3 linked regions of the Lonchura striata genome follow. The main gene of each other region encodes a partner of the protein of the gene in region 3 in a complex. Links are inferred from orthologs where the notes say so. Each region holds a gene or a part of one and is shown on either strand. Other genes may lie near its edges. The genes, in order: UCN, GNA11 and CRHR2.

What was found.
Region 1: the proteins of CRHR2 (region 3) and UCN are in contact, whole or in part, in a cryo-EM structure (PDB 7TS0), measured with the Homo sapiens proteins. The link is inferred for Lonchura striata from reciprocal best matches to the Homo sapiens genes CRHR2 and UCN. Residues at the interface, in NP_001874.2 of Homo sapiens: Phe68, Asn69, Gly70, Val71, Tyr73, Ile101, Leu102, Asp103, Asp104, Arg107, Asp110, Tyr113, Leu117, Asn120, Trp166, Leu169, Gln170, Val172, Asp173, His174, His177, Glu178, Thr188, Phe191, Asn192, Phe199, Phe256, Gly257, Lys258, Asp265; in NP_003344.1 of Homo sapiens: Asn84, Pro85, Ser86, Leu87, Ser88, Ile89, Asp90, Leu91, Thr92, Phe93, His94, Leu95, Leu96, Arg97, Thr98, Leu99, Leu100, Leu102, Arg104, Thr105, Ser107, Gln108, Arg111, Ala112, Asn115, Phe119.
Region 2: the proteins of CRHR2 (region 3) and GNA11 are in contact, whole or in part, in a cryo-EM structure (PDB 7TRY), measured with the Homo sapiens proteins. The link is inferred for Lonchura striata from reciprocal best matches to the Homo sapiens genes CRHR2 and GNA11. Residues at the interface, in NP_001874.2 of Homo sapiens: Arg148, Tyr208, Leu209, Ala212, Ile213, Thr216, Glu220, Lys293, Lys307, Ala311, Phe358, Tyr359, Phe362, Asn363; in NP_002058.2 of Homo sapiens: Arg37, Ile348, Leu349, Asn352, Leu353, Glu355, Tyr356, Asn357, Leu358.

What each region holds. Positions count from the first base shown.
Region 1 is NC_134605.1:113,707,939-113,713,248, forward strand, and holds UCN (urocortin), read left to right. Parts: upstream 1-4,427; coding exon 4,428-4,727; downstream 4,728-5,310. Other genes in the region: mitochondrial inner membrane protein Mpv17, read left to right, coding at 846-878, 1,031-1,083, 1,158-1,227. UniProt on the Homo sapiens protein: Acts in vitro to stimulate the secretion of adrenocorticotropic hormone (ACTH). Binds with high affinity to CRF receptor types 1, 2-alpha, and 2-beta. Plays a role in the establishment of normal hearing thresholds.
Region 2 is NC_134630.1:4,151,257-4,158,406, forward strand, and holds the start of GNA11 (guanine nucleotide-binding protein subunit alpha-11), read right to left. Parts: upstream 3,064-7,150; 5' UTR 3,035-3,063; coding exon 2,899-3,034; intron 1-2,898. UniProt on the Homo sapiens protein: Guanine nucleotide-binding proteins (G proteins) function as transducers downstream of G protein-coupled receptors (GPCRs) in numerous signaling cascades.
Region 3 is NC_134603.1:153,230,223-153,237,764, forward strand, and holds the start of CRHR2 (corticotropin-releasing factor receptor 2), read right to left. Parts: upstream 3,103-7,542; 5' UTR 2,448-3,102; coding exon 2,252-2,447; intron 1-2,251. UniProt on the Homo sapiens protein: G-protein coupled receptor for CRH (corticotropin-releasing factor), UCN (urocortin), UCN2 and UCN3. Has high affinity for UCN.

The sequences.
Region 1 (5,310 bases), on a different chromosome or scaffold from region 3:
ACATCACCTCTGCTTTTGTCAGGCTCTATGCAAGCTACAGCTGGGCATGGGGTGCTCCAAGGCACCCTAAGGGCACGCGTGAACAGATCGTGGGCACAGGCAGCACTCTGAGTGCTCCCATCCATCTTCCCCTGCTGCATCCTGACCAGCTCGTGCCATGGATCTGCCTTGCCTTCCCCAGGGAATCCTGCCGTGGTTGGTGATTCGTGTGAGCTGTGGCTCCTGGGAGCCCTGGCCTGGAAGGGGCTGATGGGCTGGGGATGGGCAGCAGTGCTGGCAGCACCTTCACCCCTGGCTTGGGGCGCATCCGCCTCTCCCCACGCAGAGGAAGCGTCAGCAGAGCATCCATCACCCCGCGCCCGCTCACCCCGTCCTGGGCTGCTGGCCAGCGCCAGGAGGAGCCCGGCCTCCTGGCTGAGTCACGGCCAAGCTGCAGGAGGGACTTGTCCTGCTGCCACGGGACAGGGATGCGACACGGCCGTGGCTGTGGCACGAGGACAAGGCGGCACCTTGGACTCCTGGAGCAGCTGCCCCAGCTCAGTGCCCCTCTCCGTTTCTGCCATGTGGTGCCCAGGAGGGGTCTGGGGGAGCACTGAGCTGGAAAGGGGCTCACAGCCCACACTGGGGGGCCAAGCCATGGGCCCATGTGCCCTGGCTATGGCACGAAGGGCTCTCAGTGGGGATGGTTCTGGTCACCCTCTCCCTGCCACCCTCATGGCTCTGGGAAGGCATGGGCAGGGCTGCAGGGGCTCCGTGCCCAGCAGTGTGGAGGACTCCAGTGTGGAGTTAGGGCACCAGCGGCAAGGATGGGGGCCCTGAGTGCTCACAGCTCCTTTTTCTTCCAGGACTACATGGATGCCCTGATGACCAATTACTGTGTGAGTGCTCGCACATCTGTGTCCCTGTCCCTGTCCGTTTCCTCCATGGGGCTGCCGTGGGCTCTGTGGGACACCCTGAGTGCCAGGCAGGGGTGGGTGTGGGACAGGGACCCTGGCAGGGCTCCTCACCGCTCCTCCTCTTCTCTGCCCAGATCTGGCCACCCGTGCAAATTGCGAACTTCTACTTCGTGCCTCTGCAGCACAGGTAGTGTTGCGGCCCTGGTGCCCAGTCCGTGCCCCCTGAGCCGGCAGCTGCAGACCCTGTTCCTCTGTCCCCAGGCTGGCTGTTGTCCAATGTGTTGCCATCGTCTGGAACTGCTACCTGTCCTGGAAAGCGAATCGGATGTGAGGCACAATCCGTGTCCTGTGCCTGTGCCCGGCCTGTGCGCTCCAGACCAGCACAACTCGGAGCCCTGGCCATGGGCACGCATGGCCGTGGGCAGGCTGGGATACACGGGGTCCTGCAGCAGCCATCCTGCGCTTTTCTCAGGGGAACACCATCCCCTATGGCCACGGCCTCCTGCCCCAAGGAGAAGATGGTGCCAGGACAGGCCTGGATCTGCTCCAGCCATGCTGTGCAGCGACTCTGCCCACGGTGCACTTCTCTCTCTGTGCTCAGCCATTTCCAAGCCCTGCACACGGGGTGCTCCTGTCCTGAGTGTCACTCTGACCTTCCCCACAGCACATCCCGAGGGAAAAGAGGAGTGGAAATGGAGCAGGGCTGGCCTGGGCTGGCTGTGCTGTGGGCGCAGAACTGGGCTCACTGCAGGCTGGGGATGCTTCCCCTGAAAACAGGGTTTGCTGTGGCTCTGCTGTGGACAGTCAAAGCATCAATAAACAGTTGTCTTCACTTTTGATTCCTGGGGCCCTGGGGCTTGTGGCCAGCATGCCCCCAGGCCCTGAAAGTGCTGTTCCAGGGCAACTGTCCTGTTAAGGATCAACAGGTCCACTCTACCTCATGTCAAGGCACTGAGCATGGGGCTAGGGGTTGCGGGCTGGGGTGGTCTGCCCCACCGGATAGAGAGGGGAGGGGACTCTGACAGAGGGTGGGTGGTGGTTTAGGGGTTCATCAGGTGCTACTGAAGCTGTTCCATGGGCTGTGATGGTCCTTCCGCAGCTGCAGAGCATTGGAATGAGGTCGATGGAGCCGAAGTCCTGATGCTGGGTGCAGAGTCCCCCCAGGGTCAGGGCTTGCTTGGTACAAGGCTGTGCATCTGGGGAGGGTCCAGAAAGGGTTGGGGGTAGGGCTGGAGCTGGATTTGGGCCAGGGCCACAATCCACCTGTGCCATGTCTGAGACAAGCCTGCCTGTCATGCCAGAGAGAAGCCCCGTGGAGCTGCCACTGCCTGTGCTGCTGCCCCTGGGGATGTGTGTCCACGCTCATCCTGCAGTGGCAGCGAGCACACAGTGTCGCACACTCACAGCGTCCAGCTCCCACAGTGTTCCTGCCCAGCACATCCCAACCAGGGGCTCCAAGTGGAGCTGGTGGCACCGTGGGGGTTCCTCCCATTTCTGTGGAGCCCTGGGCCCTGGCCCCCTCACCTGTGCTCCTGCAGCCCCACACAGCTGGACAGAGCCAGCGGGGCCCTGCCAGCATGGCCTTCATGGAGGGTGCTACCGTCTGTCCTCCACCCTCATCCTCCCCATGGTCTGGTTCTGTGCTGGCCCCAGCTTTGGGGCTGCTCCGGCCGGGTGGATACAACCTGGAATACAGAGGAGGCAAATCCTGCACAGTGCTGAGGGGTGAGGCAGGGGACTGGAGGGGCTGCAGCTGCAGCCCCCTTTCCCCCAGCAGTGCTCAATGGGGCAGCACAGGGCTGGGGCCAGGTGATGGGGCCATGCACGGATGGCACCAGTACTTGGGGGGTTCTGTGTGGGGCTCAAGTCCTCTACAGCCAGTGGGGTGGGTGCTGTGGGTGGCAGGAATTTGCAGCTCTGAGGTGTTGAGCCTCTTGCAGCTCCCTCTGGGGGTGCTGGAGGCTCTCTCTGTCAGCAATGAGAGCTGCGAGCATGGCAAGAGCCACGTGGAATGAGCCACTTGTCCCCAGGAGCAGCCGCCCCAGCATGGGGCTGCCAGGGCTCGGGGGGCTGAGCCCAGCCCCTGCTGAGGGCTCTGCCCTGCCGCTGCAGGAGGCGGTGCCCGGTGCCAGCCTTCATGCCGGATCACGTCATGGGGGCACGACACCGTGTGCTGCTCGCTGCGGGCAGGGCCGTGCCCCGCCGCCCCTGTGCCACCCGGGGTGGGACACACCGTGCGAGGGGCCGGGCTGAGCCCCTGTGCCCGGCTGTGCCCCGCACCGGCACTGCCCCGCTGCTCTGCCCCTGTAGCAGCGTCGGCGCTGGGTGTCAGCTCGGCTACGCTCGGCCGGCAGCCGCAGGACGCTCGGGGGCTGCCGGCAGCGGTGGGGAGCGCTCGGGGGGATGCCGGCAGTAGTGTGGAGCCCCAGCAGCCACCTCACCATTTGGCAGCGGTGCCGGTGCCCCGACGGAACACCCTGAATCCAGCACGGCGCTGCCAGCTCCGGTGCCTTCATTCTATGACTCACAGGACTTGGCCGATGCCGCCGCTGCGCTCGGGGCGTCTGCGGCCTCGGCCCCGCGGTTCGACCTCGGCACCGCCCGCTCCGCCCGGGACGCTGAGCCACGGCCAGGCTGGGGGTCCCACCCGTGACCGCCCCGTCCCGGAGCTGCCGGTGCTTGGGGTATCCCCACCTCCGCCCAGGAGTCCCTCCCGCCCCGATCGCTGCTTGGACGCCGCTGCTCGACGCGGCCGTTCCGCCCGGGAACGCAAGGGCTCCACGCCGAGAAGCCGCGGCTAGCCCCGTACAGCTCACTGAGGGCTCACCGGGAGCTCACCTGTACAGCCCACCGGCCCCGGTGCCCCAGCGCGTCCCGGCCGTTCAGCACCGCGGACAGCGGCGGAGAATGAGGCCGGAGATGCGGCAGAGCCGGGAGAGGGAACGGGGCGACCGGGAAACCGGGGGACAGGGGAAGCGAGGGTTAGCACGGCCCAAGGCACCTGCTCTCACCGGCCCCGGCCCCGCCGTGCCTCTCTGGTGGGCGTCAGAAAAGAATCGGAGAGGTGGCTCCCGAAACCGGCGAGAGCGGGCTCTGCCTCTCCGCCCCTCCGTCCCTCAAGCCCGTCCCGCCGCCGGGTGCCCGCTCCCCGCCGCTCCGGTGCCCCCTCTCCCCCGCCCCCGCCGCCCGGTGCGTGCCCGGCGCTGACGTCAGCCCGGGCTCCCGGGCCGATATAACCCCCGGCCGCGCCGCCGGCTCAGCTCCCGCGGGACGGATCGCTCGCCGCGCCGCCAGCACCGGCAGGAACAGGGCACGGGCACAGCGCACCGGGTACGGGACGGGGCTTGGGGACCGGGCAGGGACGGCACCGGGGCCGGGGCGCGCAGAGGGGGCGGAACGGGGCGGGAGGGGGCTCCGCGCCCGGGACCGTCCCCGCGCCGCCGGGGCCGCGGTTCCCGTCGGGCCTCCGCCGCCGCCCCAGTCTCTGCTGCGGCGCTAAGCCCCTGCCCCGTAGGTGCAGAAGGAGCGAGGATGCGGCGGGCACTGCTCACCCTCCTGCTGCTGCTCGCCCGCCCGCCGCCCGCCGCCGCCCGCCCCGCCACCACCGACGGCTCCATCCCGGCGGCCGGGACCGGGGCTCAGGACCAGCCGCTCTGGCCGCCGCTGGCGCCGCCGCCCCCGGGGCCGTGGCGAGGGCGGCGGGACGAGCCGCCGCTCTCCATCGACCTCACGTTCCACCTCCTGCGGCACCTCTTGCTGCTCGCCCGCGCCCAGAGCCAGCGCGCCCGCGCCGATTCCAATCGCCGCATCCTCGACGCCGTGGGGCGCTGAACCCCAGACCCCGGCATCCCCGGACACCCCGAACCCCCCATGACCCCGGGCTGCACCGGCCTCCAGCCACCCTGGCCCCTGCACTGTGCGGCGCTCGGCACCAACACCGGCACGGGCTGAGCCCGCCTCAGCCCCAGCGCTGCGGCGAGCGGGAGCGGAACCGGCCCGGCACCGGTCCGCACCGATTTTGTAATAAAACGTGGTGGAAACCCGAGGCGTGAGCGAGTGAGGGGTGGGGGCAGCTGGGGCTGTGCAGGACCAGGGACTGGGCAAACTGGGAATGTGCTCACTGGAAATGGGGAATGGGGAAAGAGGCTCAGTGGGAACAGGGAAAGAGGCTCAGTGGGAGCAAGGTAATGGGCTCATCAGGAATGGGGAATGGGTTTATGAGGAATGAAGAGGGGGCTCACCAGGGATGGGGAAACAACTCATTGGGAGTGGTGGAATGGGTTTACCAGGAAGGGACAAACAGACTCACTGGGAATAGGGAAAGGGCTCACTGGAAAGGGACTAAGGGCTCAGAAGTGGGAGACAGCATGAGCTGGGTCAGGGCTGGGTAGGAGCAGCTGGGCCAGCAGCACGA
Region 2 (7,150 bases), on a different chromosome or scaffold from region 3:
ACCTGGGATGAGCTCACCTCCACATTTCAGCAGCCTAAATGGACAGCACTACACCTCTGTGGAGTGCTTTTGTTCAATCTTCTAAAATTTGCTATCATTATGCAGGATATTGATAAAAAACTCACACCTCTCTAGCACAGTGGCCCAGCTCACCTGACTAGAGAGACCAAAAACTCAAAATATATCATGTCAGTGATACAAATCCTTTTGACCTGGAGTTAAAATGTTGGCAGAGCCCTGGCTCTCTCCACAGGCACCACCAGATCCTCCTCACACCAGGGGAGAGATGGATTCAGACAGGATTTCATTCATCCCAGTACACAATTAATACTCGCATGTAGCTACTCAGTTACTCATTTTATCTTGGTAGGCTAAAAGGCAAACAAATAAAAATGCTCAGATAAAAGCAACAAGCACCTAACTAGAAGCAGAATGCTCGAAATGAACAGGAAGAACTGACAGAAATCACGTCAGCACAGCCAGAAATTAACACTGTAGACATTATCAATATGCAGCAAACTATCTCCATCTTGAACACAAAGGTGCACCCTAAGTGGGGAAAAAACTGGAAACTGAGATCTTTTGTGGTTTCTGTCAGTGTGGTGAGAAATACTTCCTTGTCTTTTACCACAGTGACCAAAACTGAGAAAAAAAAAAAAAAAAAAGGCGGTGCTTCAAAGCATTTCAACAATGAAAATGTAAGAGAAACCTCAGCACCAGACCTTGGCTTGCTTCAGGATTTAAGAGTTCAAACACAGATTCTTCCTATCACTCCATCATCACTGCCCTTTTTTGGTTTGAGGGTTGGTTTTGGTTATTGGTGGTGGGTTCTTGGTTTGGTTTTGGGATTTTCTAAGTTGTCTTTTGCTTTCCCTGAGGCACAGTACTACACCAGCAGGTTACGAGCTCTGGTGGGCAAGATCTACAACTCTCAGGGCGCAAAATCCTTTTTTAATATGATAGGAGATAATCTGAATTCACCACTTCATCTGCCAACTCGTGAAAGCAGCGGAGTTTACAATAACTTCCTAATGATCCCCTAGTAAATACACTGCTCAGTCAACAGTAACCCATGCTTAATCACAAGTAATTTTGTACAAAATATCCTCCCCATCCAGTAAAAAGACAAATTACTACCTTGTACCAGATGGCAATGTCCAACACCTTGAATTTCTTATTAACAGGTTCATCATTGATTAGCACTGTTATTCCTCACCTCAATTTTCTGGTTAAGGCTTCAACAAAGTAACTGTCACCAGATGTAGTGACAGGAAAAATTTAACCGTTTCTACAAGGTGGAAACTCCCTCCTCACACTCAAAATTTTGGAGATTTTGGGAAAGCCCTCTCACTAAGTCAATCATTAATACTTGTGAATATAAGAACTCCATAGAACAGGAGCAACACGGAAGAAATCCCTGCAAGCAGGGAGAGAGAACACAGGTCACCTGTGCCAGCTGAAGGTGGGCAACGTGCTGTGTCCAGTGACAAGCATCCTGCAAAAATTGTCTACACCTAGGAGTGTTGCTTATCCAACAATAACCACCTTCTATATGCTTTTTTTTAGTCTAATGCTGAATCTGTATCTTTTAGAAAAGCAGAAAGGATTCTTGAGCAATTTGAATTATTTCTAAAGTGAAATATTTAGATCCAGTGGGATCTTCTTAACCCAGATCTATCCTATAGCGACAACCTATTTTGACACAGCTGCTTCTGTGGGACTGCTTTTAGGGAAGCATGAGAGTGAGGGACACCTTCCCTCCTCTCCAGGAAGCCTCACAGAAACTGCCACAGCATCTCCAAAGAGCAGAAATGTGAAGCCCTCGATTTTAGCTTTCACACAAAGAACAGCAATCCATTAATTGTGAAGGATTCAGGGTGAGAAGGAAAGCCCTGGGGTTTACTTGGCACCAGTGGGGGTACTGGAGCCTCCAAGGGGCTGGGCACACACAGCCTCTCCCCACTTCTGCAAATAGTTTGTTATTTTTTAAACAAGGGTTAGCCTCCTTCTTCATCTGGACCTTAATGACTTGTCAACAGATCCATCAGGATTTCATCTCAAGATAATACAGTATTCAAGACACAAAGCAGGATCTATCTGACACACAAGCGGTGCTAAATCACAGCATGCATGAAAACCGAAACTGAAGTTTAAATTTGGGGGCTATCTAGGGAAGAACATCAAACTCACTGCTGAAGGAGGAGGCACATGCCTGCGAGTCTCAGTTTGCAGCCGATTTCCCATCCCTGTAAACTCATCTGAACACGGCACAGTTACCCATCAGCACAGGGAACACTCCTGTTCCCACCCGGAGACCTAGATTCCTGGGCTGCACAGGTGATCTGCACCTCTGAACAGCGCGGGCATCTCCTCAGCCAGCGCACAACTCCGCATTCCACTGCCTCGTCCCCCTCCAGAGCCAGCACGCCGCGCTCCCAGCCCCGCTGCCTCTCCAGCTCCTGCCCCAGGGGAAACTCCGTGCTTCAGGAGCTGCAGGCCCGTTTTTCCACACACGTCCACCGACAATCCTGAAAAGCACCAACTCCACCAGCGGATTGCCACACGCTAACCCAGGCCAGCACACTCCCCGAGAATCGTTTCCTCCACACAAATTTCACGCGCCCCCGTGCGTGCCCGCCTTCCCCACCAGGAATTTCAGCCACTTAGTTCCTGGTTGTGTCAAAACCCATTTTGACAGCGAACGCATCACAAAATCAAACAAAGGGCAGCCAATGAGGCGGCCGCCCCGCACGGCTCGGGAGCGGCCGCGAGCGCCGGGCTCAGGCGGGGATGGCTCCCGCCGCTTCCCCGCCACACCCGCTCCCCGCCCGGCCCGGCCGCCGGACCCGCGGAGCGCCGGGCCGGGCCCCGCGGCCGGAGCGGCGGCGCGCTCCTCACCCAGCAGCAGCAGCTTCAGCTCGCGGCGCGCGTCGCGCTTGTCCCTCCGCAGCTGCTTCTCGATCTCGGCGTTGATGCGCTTCGACTCCTTCACCTCGTCGCTCAGGCAACAGGCCATCATGGACTCCAGAGTCATGGTCGCGTCGCGGCCGGGACGCCCCCGCCCACCCCCCCACCCCCCCGGCACCGACCACCGTTCTCCGCACGGCCGGGAGCCCGGCCCGGCCCGGTCCCGCGTCCCGCGCCCCCTTCCCTCCCCACCCTCCCGCCCTGCGCGGCGCCGGCCCGGCCCGGCCTCGCCCCGGCCCCGAGTGCTGCGGCCGGGCCCAGCGCCAGCGCCGCCGCCGCCGCCCCCGCGCCGCTCTCGCCCGGCTGCGCCGCCGCTCCCTCCGCACGGCTCCGCCGAGACACCGACGAGCCGGCGCAACCCAACCCGCTGCCGCCGAAAACAAGCGCGGACTGACGGCGGCGGCGGCCAATGGGAGAGCGCGGCGCGCAGCGGGGCGGGCCCGGACGGGCGGGACGCGGCGCCGCGGCCAATGGGAGCGCAGGGTTTGGCTGGCCGGGCGCGGGGGGGGGGGAGGGCGCACGGACGCGCGTTCCTGGAGCGGGGCGGGGCCGCCGAGCATTGTGGGAAGGTGGCGGACCGGGCGCCCATGGCGGGCCGGGCCCGGGCCCTGCCCCTGCCGTGACCGGGCGCGGGGCCGCCGCCTCCCCTCGCCCTCTGCCGGCCCGCGGTTGGGCCGCGCCGGGCGGGGAGGGCCCTGGCGGCCGCTGGGATGGCGGCACAGGGCGGGCCCGGGCCGCGGAGGTTGCGGCTCGTCCCGCACCGCTCGCAGCCCCGGCGGGAGCCCGGAGCGGGCCGGGCCCGACCTGTGTGGGACGGGCGCGGCTCTGCTCGCAGGCCCCGCCAGCCCGGCCCTCGGGCCGAGCAGGGGCAGGCTGAGGCCTCGCCGGGCCGGCCCTGTGCTCCAGGCTGCGGCCGTGTCCCAGCACAGCCACCCGAGCTGGGGCTGCCGCCTCCCAGCCCTCCCGAGCTCCCCATCGCTCCTCACAGGGCGGCTCAGAGCTGCCTTTATCCCAGCTTCCCTCACTGCTTCCTACCAGGTGCCTGCTGACCTGGGACAGGTCCTCCAGCCAGCAGCCCGATGCCTCCATCCCCTCACGCCACACCTTGGGCTCCTTCTTGTGCTGCCAGTGCAGCCTCATCTGTCAGAGCATCCATCCCCTCATGCCGCCCCTTGTGCTGCCAGTGCAGCCTCATCTGTCAGAGCAGCCCCCCTGTGCCCTGTGGGACCCTGCCCCAAGCAGAATCCCTGCCACCTGGACTCTCCACACACACACACACACACCCCTCTTACATGCACCTGTGGTTGCATCTCTTACCCTGCCTTGCCTGGGGTCTGTATCTAAACAGTCTTTTTGAAGGTCCAAAAAAAAAGCACCATGAAGCCGTTCCTTACCTGCCTTCCTGGCTCTTGCAGTGGTCTGCCAGTCCTTATCTCTTGGCAATTTGACTGAGGCAGAAACACAAGATACTCACAAACAGGTTCTATTTTCCACTTAACTTCTCCCCTATACCTGTGCTATTCCCATGAGTTATTTGCCTCAATTAAAATAAGTTTCTAACTTCTTTTTTTTCATAGTTTGGCCTTTAACAGCATCAATGCTGACCTCCCTCTGTTACATTCTCTTACTTTCCCTCCCAGGTACCCCACAGCCAGGAGGACTCATCACACACCTCTGGCAAAGGCCATGTGGTCATTTTGCTTTGGCAGCTGAAAATTATTCAGCAACCAGAAGTGCTCAGCACAACCAAAACCCAAGCCACAGTGGCTGTTCCCACTGTGACCTGTTGCCCTTTGGAACTCCTGGACAGTCCTTAAGGAGACTGAAGTTCCTACAAAACCCTGCAGCACTGCCCTGACTGGGCAAGCCACCTGAGCCCTCTGCATGTCCTCAGGCTGTGAGGGTGACACAGGTGACACTCTGGGGCTGCTAAAGAGTTCCCAGGTTGGGATTGCTGGGCTGCTCTGGACCACGAGGTGCTGTGTGTTGGAAGCTATTGTTTTGGTTGCCATCTCTTGGGCAGGATCAAAATCTAAAGGCCAGCAGATCCTGAAGAAATTTCCACAGCTTTCCAAAAGAAAAGGAACAATAAAATTTGCATCTCAGCTCTGGACCACTTCCTTGGTTCCTGCTGATGGGAAGTTTGGGTCCACAGACATTGAGTTTTGATGAGTCCTGATCAAAGTGTGATTTAAGAATGACAGAACTGCCATTCTCCAAGCAACAAGAGCCCATCCACTCCCTCTCTTTCTGCCCTAATGGAAAAGTTTTGGTGCTCAGAGGGCTCCCAGGAGACCTGGAATTTCCCTCAGCTCTGCCACCAGTGTGCTGTGCAATTCCCCAGGCTCCATGTCCTTGCTCCTGCAGAAAGCTGATCCTGAACGTGTCAGGCCACTTCCAGAGCAACTGCTCCCATGGCCCACATTTGCAGCAGCTCCTGCTGAGCCCAGGGATCAGCCCCATTTGTTTACAGAGGGGAAGAGCCCATGGAAATGGGATCCTGAAGCCCCTGGAGATGCAGACACATAGTGTGGGCAGCACTGCAGACATTGCACAGTGACATCTCTTTTCTCCATTCTGGCCCCATTTCTTAGCTGTTTGTGAGTTCCAGAGGGGAGCAGGCACTGCCAGCAGGTCAGGGAGGTGATCCTGGCCAGGCTGAGGGAGCTGGGTGTGCTCAGCCTGGAGAAGACCAAGAGGGGATTTTTCCAATATCCATAAATACCTGAAGGGAACTGCCAGGGGATGGAGCAGTTTCTGCTCAGCTGCTGAGCAACAGGACAATGAGCAGAAACTGATGCACAGCAAGTTCCACCTTGAACATGAGGAAGAACTTTCCTGTGCTGCTGACACAGCACAGGTTGCCCAGAGTGGTTGCAGAGCCTCCTTCTCTTGTGATATTCAAAGGAAGAATTTGTCTGGACTCTCTCTGGGTGCTGATGGGGACCAGGGACCCAGCTGCAGAGCACGTGTCAAATGTTTCATCCTCCCCCAAAATTAATTTTACAAGTTCTTCAATTGCCTGTCACAGGAAGATGCCACAAGATTTGAGTTCTCTGAACAGAGAGGAGGAAAGGCACTGAGATCAAACAAAGCTGACAAATGCAGCCCGTGACAGCAATTGCTGGATTAGTTTTTTTAAACCTTATGTTTCACATCTGGTTTGTCATGGTGTTGTAGGTGGGTTCAGTGCACAGTAAACTAGGATAACAAACCTACATTTTCTGTGATCCTTTCATCCCCTACGATCCCAAAACACATCATTTAATTGCACTCAACCTGCACACAGATTTCATAAATAGAGGAATGATGAATTAGCATAGCTGCTGCAGCATTCACACAAGTTACTAAGACACAATCTCCTTGTGCAATCAATCCAGCCTCATGCTTCAGTGTTTGTCATAAATTGAGGTCAGGAAGAAATGTTCTCCCTACCTGGAGGAGTGCTGCTGAACTAGCCGAGTACAGAAAGTCTCTTAAGGGTGTAGTAATCTCTCTTCCCTGTGCAAATCTCAGAAACTGCTGCAAATGTGCATTTGGTGCACAGGAGCAGGAGGAATCTGCCTCACAGGAGCCTGGGTGATCCTTTTGACCCTAAAATCGGTATCTGGCTCCTCCCTTCGTCCAGCAAGGGAGGCAGAGGAGAGAGGGGAGAGTGCTGAGCCCTGGCCATGCCCACAGCACACCTGGGTGCTCACGAAGCTGCTCCTTTGGCCATTCCAGCCCCTGTGGGTCACTCCCTTCAGCTCAGTCTGGGATTCACACTGCTGCTTCTGCAAACTGATTGTGCTGGGAGGCTTCTCATGACCAAAGGGTCAGTGGATTCCCCTGGACCTCCTGACTGTCTCACAGCTCCAAATTTCCTGCTTATCTCCCACCAAATGCCTCAGGGACACCACCCAGGGAGCAAGCAGCTTCAGGCATCCTTGCCATGTGCTTCCTAATCACGGCTCAGCTGCAAAATCCCTTTCCTGCTTCCTGCAAGGAGTGTGAACTGCTCCTTGCACTTTGGCTGGTAAAAAGGATGATAATTACCCCTAATCAGTCTGCAGCAAAAACACAGGCCACAGCAGAAGGGAGGGGTGGGGGGCAGTCACCACGAGGGATGGAGCCCAATTATTCCAAGTCACTGATAAAACGGGATCAAAGAGGGTAGGAATGTTTTACCAGCTGGAAAAAGCCT
Region 3 (7,542 bases):
GGGGGGTGAAATTAGTAATTATAAGAAGAGGAAATTAGCATATTGGACTAATTAACAGCATCTTCTGGAAAAGAAACAGGGAAGATAACTAATTACAAAGCTTAATGTTTACTGTTCTCCCAGCTAAATAAAGATTGTTCAATATGGCTCTCCTTGGGTTTCTTCTCTTGATTTCTTTTTCCCTTCTAAAACATATCTGCAGTGTGTCAAAGAACAGGAGCCAGAGAAAATATTCAGACACTGCAGGCTCTGTGGTCTGGTTCTCTCCATCCACGCTGCTGAATGGAGCTCACCAATGTTCCCATGTGACACATCCTTGTCATTACCAGGGTTCAAAATGAGGCTTGCAACACAGCTCACCTCATTTTGGACACTGAAATATTAGAGCAGACTTAGTTACAGAAGCTCATTATCCTTGGACCCCAATAATGAAAAAGCATTTAGTTTCTGCTCCATTTTAGGTTTTAATTTAGGATTAAATCATGCTTTGGTCTTTAGCTGTACCAGTAGAGCTCTACTGACCATGAAGAGGTGGTGATTATATTGGAGACCTCCATTTTTTTAATGAGACATTTCATAGCTGAATAGCCCAGACTGTTTGGAAATCCAGTTTTCATGGAGCACAAAAAAAATCAATCATGGGAACCACCATGTTCTTGTTGATGACCAGCCACCCTGAGAAAAGAACACTGGTCCATGCTAAGAAAAAACATTAATTTTTGTCCCTAGGGTGTCCCAAAGTTCACTTCATACTTACACCTGAGGCTCACCATGGAGCAGATTTGAGGTTTACTATATTTTACTATATTTAGGGTTTATTACATTTATAAATCCACTCTCAAAGCACAGTACAGGTTCTCAGGATTTTAAAGTATCATAGAAAGTTTGTTCTAAAAAAGCTGCAGGTTAGACCAACTATAAATATCAACTTCCATTAATTTCAGAGCATTGCTTTACCTATGATCAGTGATACCTCACAAAGATAGTGGAATAGAAGAGAGGGTTCTGAAGCTTCTCCCTTCCCTTTTCCCATTAAAATTCTGTTCCAGTAGCCACACTCCACTGGAAAATATGCCGTGTGTTCATGCATCACATAAACAGTCCAGAAAATTATATTTTGTCAACAACTGAAAAATAAATTGTTTGCTGACTTCTAAGACAGCCTGGCATGAAATTTGTGGGTTTTTTTCTAAAACAGAAGCTCTGCACAAGGAAAAACACTTCATGAATAAATGGCAAGTTTTACAACAATATTTACAAACACATTCAAAAGGCAAAGAACACCTAAAAGAAGGGTCCAAATATGGAACCTCATTTATCTTTCCTTTGTTTCCAGCTAAGGAATGGAATAGATGGTCATTAAACTGATATAAACAAATCTGCTCCCTGGAACACAGTGGCACCAAGGGGCAGAGCTTGGGGCAGATTCATAATACAGGTCAACACACCCATTTATATGCAAATTGAGAGGCAGTTAAGGCACCACAACTTTCACACTTCAGCCTGATATCCAGATCAACCTATGGTCCTGAAGGAATTAAGTCAGAATAAAACACCACTGATCCAACACATTTTACAGAAAGATTTTTAATTCCCTGAGCCTCATTTCCTTTGCTGTTTCCCAGGGATGGACGCCTGGCTGAATGATAACACTTACATTATATCTTAAGCTCTTTTCCTCCATGAATATTCACCAGGGGGAAAAAGAAAGTGAAGAGGAAGGGAAGAAATTTAGTTTTTTCCCCAGAAGCACCATTCATTGCAGCACACCCCCCCAAGTCATGCTGCAGAGGAGGGTGGCTCTGAGTGTGCTTCTCCCCCTTCTGAAAGAAAGCTGGATCCAGTTTCACATCTCTTACAGCATCATTTTTGTGCTGGCGTATTTTAGCCAAGAGACAAGTGCTTTGCCCTGCTTCTATAAACTGGTCTGGATAAATGGACAAGACACTTCAACTATACTAATTAATTCAACTATACTAATCTTCAACTACCACACCAGTCAGTAAGTACAGCTAATTCAACTGATTAAGCTCTGAGAAAGGGCTGTCAGCAGTTCCTCTGAAGCTCTCTCCAGGTGTGCAAAATTCCAAGTTCTCCTTCCTCGTCACATCACTGCACATTGTCACCAAGGAAAAGCCAAGCTGGAGACAGTATGTTTATCTCAGCAGGAGAAGATGTTCCTGGAGCAAGGGCACTTTGAAAGTGGATCCTCCAGTAACAAGAAGCCACCAAGAAACAGAGGAGTAAATACCTGTGACATTGGTGCGGGCTGACAAAGCTTCGCAGTACTTTTCCAGCAGAACAGACAAGGGCAGGTTCACAGAGGATTCACAGTGGAGAACTATCTGGATAAACAGAAAGAAACCAAGCAGGTAAAGCAGCAACCTAGAACAGATTTTCTCTTTCATGAGTACAACAAGCCCCAGCAGTCTCAGAGCAGTTCCCATTCATGATTTATTCAGGCACAGACACCCACTGATACAGAAGGTTTGTGGTTGTACTTGCTCGGCTCCAGGGCATCACATGGAATTCACCTGACTAAAGCAGGAAACTGCAAATTAAGCACCTATTCTGGATCTCTCCTTGTGGGAGCTGCTCAGTGCCTTTAACAAAGCTCAGGATCCCCTTTGTCTCATCACCTGAAAGTAGATGCCTGAAACAGCAGAGCTGAATCACATCATCACATCCCATTAAAGATTGTGTTGAGTTTTTTCAGTTAAAGATTGTGTGTTGAGTTTTTTCAGTGAACTTTTAATTGATATGTAGGTGCCAAAGATCCTTGCACATTCAAGAGATACAGCAATTGGCAAAGGGCAGTTCAGAGGGCTTGAATAAAGTGTTTCCATGGAATGTATAGGATAATTTGGCATCCCTGTAAGGTGTCTTGTGGCTCTTTTTAGCCAATGGAAGACACACAAGTTTCTGACCCTCAGCATTTAGGGCTGAGCCTTCCACTGAGGGCAAATAACAGTGAGAAAGAGCAGAAATGCCAACATGGGCACTTTGAGAAAGCTGCAGGTTCAGTACAAGGTAGCAGTACAACCCCAAGTAAAATTTAGGGAATAGAGTTGAAAATCAATGGGAATATTTAATTTTCACACTCAAAATAAAGCACCCAGTGCAGACAGAGGAGAGAAGACTACACCAAACTATAGAGCCAAGTTGGGATCCTGCTTGGAGCAAGGGAAGCTCTTGGAAAGTCCTTTAAGAAAGGTAGGACGAAATGTGACAGGAAAATTCAGGAGTGACAGATCAATGACAGAAAATCCAATTTTCAAACTATGAAACAAAATCTTTCTGACTGTTTCTGAGATGGATATAAAGCCATGGTAACACACAAAATGCCTTTGCTTTTCTGTTTACACAGAATGACTCCAACAAAATTCAGGCAGCTTTTACTCAGGGAAACAACCATACTCTAAAGGTTGATACTATATTTCAGTGCCCTAAGGTGTGTTAAGTGATTGAGGAACCCATTTTTTAGGTCACTGAATTCTCTCACTTAATAAAAAGGACGGTAAGTGCTCAGGACAATAGAATCCATCAGCAATCTCTCTAAAGAACAACTGTTCTTTGTACAGCACCTTTTTCTACCTAGTTCTCACTTTGCTGTTATTTTATAAAATAGGAAGCATTGAAGTACAAACAGAAAACCTTTCCCAGATTTCATTCTTTTCATACCAACTCCATGAAGGGGCTGTTTCTCCTCCACGTGTGAGGATGTGTGAAGAATTTTGAATTAGTTAGAGACATGACTTCTAAGTTGTTTCAGATAATGTGATTTATTTTTCTTATCTTTTACATAGGTAGGAAAGGTGAGTTCAGATCATATCTCCACCACATAACTCAAAAAGTCCCAAAACTTCTAGTTACAAGACCTTTTAAAGATTTATTAACTAACATAACAGTACTAACAAAGATATTTATATTTTTGACCTAATTCTTAAGTATTTTGTTTTATAGACTCATACCAGTGTAAGCTTTTTAAATTAATCATGTTATAACACACAAACTTAGAGTTCCATACTTTAAAACTTTAAACTTTCTTCTACTTAACATACCTCTGCTTTTAACTACATTCTCACTTGTAGCACCTAAGTTTAAAGTCTCAGATCAAATTTTGTGTTTAATCCTAAACTTTGCCTTACAGGCCCAAAGTTCTGAGAATTCCCTGCATTTCAAATTCCAGCACCCAGGGAGGCTCAGAACTCCTGCCTCCCGTGGCAGGACCTCCATGCACGGTCAGGTCAGGGAGACAAAGCCAGGTGCAGATTCCACCTCCGGAGGCTCGGAGCTCCCAAACCTCAGACTCTGCAGTGGCCACGTCTCCTGCCAGATCCAGGCATGTTGACACAGCAGAGGCATTTCTTCCCTTCCACCCCTCACCCCTCTGCCACCTCCCAGGCCAAAGCACTGCCTCACTTCAAAGAAGAAACTCAAGCCATCCCCGTGCACTGTAAATACGCCGCGTGTTCAGCTGTGCCCTCCCCAGGACGATGGGAAAGCACAGACAGAGGTCAAGCTCAGCACAGCTTGGGCAGGAGTAGGAAAGGTTAAATGTCACATTTGCCTTAGGGTTCAGCTCAGGTTAATTTGGCTGGGGGGAAAAGTGCTTTCCACATATTATGTTACTTTTGGTTTCATTTTCTCTCCACAGTCAACAGCCTTGCTGTGCGTGAAACTTTTTTCTTTTAAAAATTGTATTTAAAGCAGATAAACCCAAATTATGACTCAGGTTTATATTTTTATATTTTTCAGATTCTGTTCTGCTTCAGTGTGCAGTTCTGAGCTTCGTACCAGGGGATGCTGAGCTCTGTGCACAGAGCAGGGACACAAAACAATTCCTGCTCCAGCTGGGCACCAAGGACAAATGATCCAAACCTCAGCCCAGGAGCACAAACACCGTGGGCTGGAGAGAGAAAAACAAGCAGGGTGGGACTGCCTGGGCTGGAGCTGGAATGGGACAATGAACTCCAAGGTGCCAATGGAGCAGAACTGATCCTAGGGAGAGCCCCGGGAGCGCTCGTGCATTTTGGGACCATTTTGGGTCATTTGGGTGCAGCCCTGGCTGGGCTCTGGTGCTGCCCAAGGTGGATCCATGGAGGAGATCCTTTGAATAAATCCCTGCTTTATTCTTTAGCTCTGTCCAGCCTCTGTTCTTAGGGCAGCCTTGAAAAACTCCTCTTACAATAATAAAAAAATGGAAAAACAAAGAAAGAACAAGAAAAAATTCAGTAATATAGAATTGTAAAGATAAATAATTGGGCCCATGACTGTGCAGAAATTATATTTTGAAGTACTGAAATAATCGCTTTGGGTCACTAATGCGTGACTTTTCTCAAACTGCATTTCTCTTGAAACAGCTATTCCATCACCTCTGTCCACCAAATCACTTCTTTTCTGTCCTGAAAATTTACCTAAATCATGCACAGAAATGTCCAACTTAATTCCTCAGAGCCGCTGTGGACATTTATGAACAAATAAAACTAATGTGCTGCGCCAAAGACTGAGGTGGAAATTAATCCTTTACTTTCCAAAGCAGGGACACCAACTAAGAGCAGGCCAGCTCTGAGTCTTCAGAAAAAAAAAAAATACAGAGCCTTTGGTTGACTTCCCGTTCACATCTGAGAGGATTTTGGGAAAAAGATGAGTTACTCTGGTGTGGCACTCTCTGCCTCTCTCATGGGCATTTTGTTGGATCTTTCCCCTTGGACATGGTCACTGCTCTTCATTAATTCATGAAAGATCTTTATCTCTGTCAGAGGACATCAACTACGAGACACAAGAGTTGCCTATTCTCAGTTTCCACCAGCATTTGTGGTTATTCCATCCAGGTAAGAGAGGATTTGTAACTTCATTTAAAGAAGAATTAACAAAGAGTCCTGGCTCGAAATACAGAGTTCCTCTGTGAAGCAATATAGAAATATAAAACCAAATTAACATCAGTGCTTTAAAATTCATGGAAGAGGTTGTTTTCTCTTCTGAAACATGGAAGAAATGGCTACAGGAATATAAAGGAATGACTTCAGAATAAAAACCAGCCCCCAAATCTATGGATAGGATCCAAAAATGTCAACACAAGCATGGGGCTACCACAGAGACACAATGGAGCATCTGGTAATTTTAAATATCTCACAGTAGGCAGCAGCAGAGGGAAGTTAGCAGGAATGCAAGCTGAAGGGAAGGACTGAAGAGGAAAAGGATGACCCATGACAGTGGAACACCCTTGCCAAGGCGGAGGTGAGTTTGGAGGCAGTGGATGGACAGATGCACACACTCCCCTTTCCCACCCTCACACAAGAATTCCCAGATGCCACATGGCTCTAATAAAAGCCAGTTGTTAGGCCTCCCTGTCAAACATCTGCTGGTGGCATGCTGAGAGGTGCTGACATCTGACACAGCCTCAAAGCAATAGAGCAAAAACTGTTTGTTAAAAAAATGTAGTTTCTAGTACTCCCGAGGCCCCAGAGAAATCCATCCCATGGAAGGACAAGAGCATCTCAGCAGAAAGCCACTCCCAGAAAAGCAGTGGGATTTAGACTTCAAAACAGAGAGAGCAGCAGCTGAGCTGGTCACACAGGGATTCTTTTGGAATTCAGGAAGAGAAGCAGGAATTTTCCAGATGCAGTTCATCTGCGGTATTTTAAATCTTTAAATTGGAATGACCTCCACTGACTGCATCAGCTGGGTCTTATGTACTGTAGGACAGAGTCACTTAGATGCATCCTTCCTAAATTTTCTTTAGACTACATGCAAAAGGAGAGATCAAAACATTCCTAGAGATGATGGCTGCAGGAAGACACGAGCACATGACAATTTTATTTAATCATCTGTGCTCTTTCTTTTACTGAGCAAGATGAATTGACCTTCCAACATGGAAAAATGTTGGAGTTATCAACACAAAATGTGCTCAGTCCACAGCTGACAAGAAGAGGGTCCATCTCACATCTTCTTTGCCACACAAAATCTCACCCTGCACTGTTCACTGTGCTCTCTATAAAGACAAAGCATTTTCCACTCCTGAGAAACCACCTGGCGTGGATTATGTCAGGAGGATGCTTCTTCCTACCCTTCATCTCTGGGAACCTCCACTGCTCTCAAGACTCCAGCTTTTCCCATGTATTTCTTTAAAATATCCGAGGCTGCAAATGCTACCTTGTTTCAACATCAAAATTGCAGCAAAACTGTCTTTAGCACACAGAAAAGCTGCTGCTTAGTAGCTTTGCCCCAGAACTCAGCGAAAAAAAAAGTTCGAGTGCAAGAGAAAAGGGAAAACTGCATTTAATTTTTAGTTCTTCAATTAGGCAATGCAAATAAATTCACTCCATCTCCACAATGAGACTGAGTTCTCACCCCAACTTCTGGGATGGAAATGCTCAGAGCAGTGGCCCAATTAAAAGCAAAATTCTAGTTTGTGTGCAGAGAAGCTCATCTTAGGGAAACACAGGCTTCTAACTTCACAATGAAAATGTAGTTAGTGAAAGAGCTCAACTCAGCAAAATCAAAGTGAATCCCACATTTCCTTGACAAAATCCATCCTCT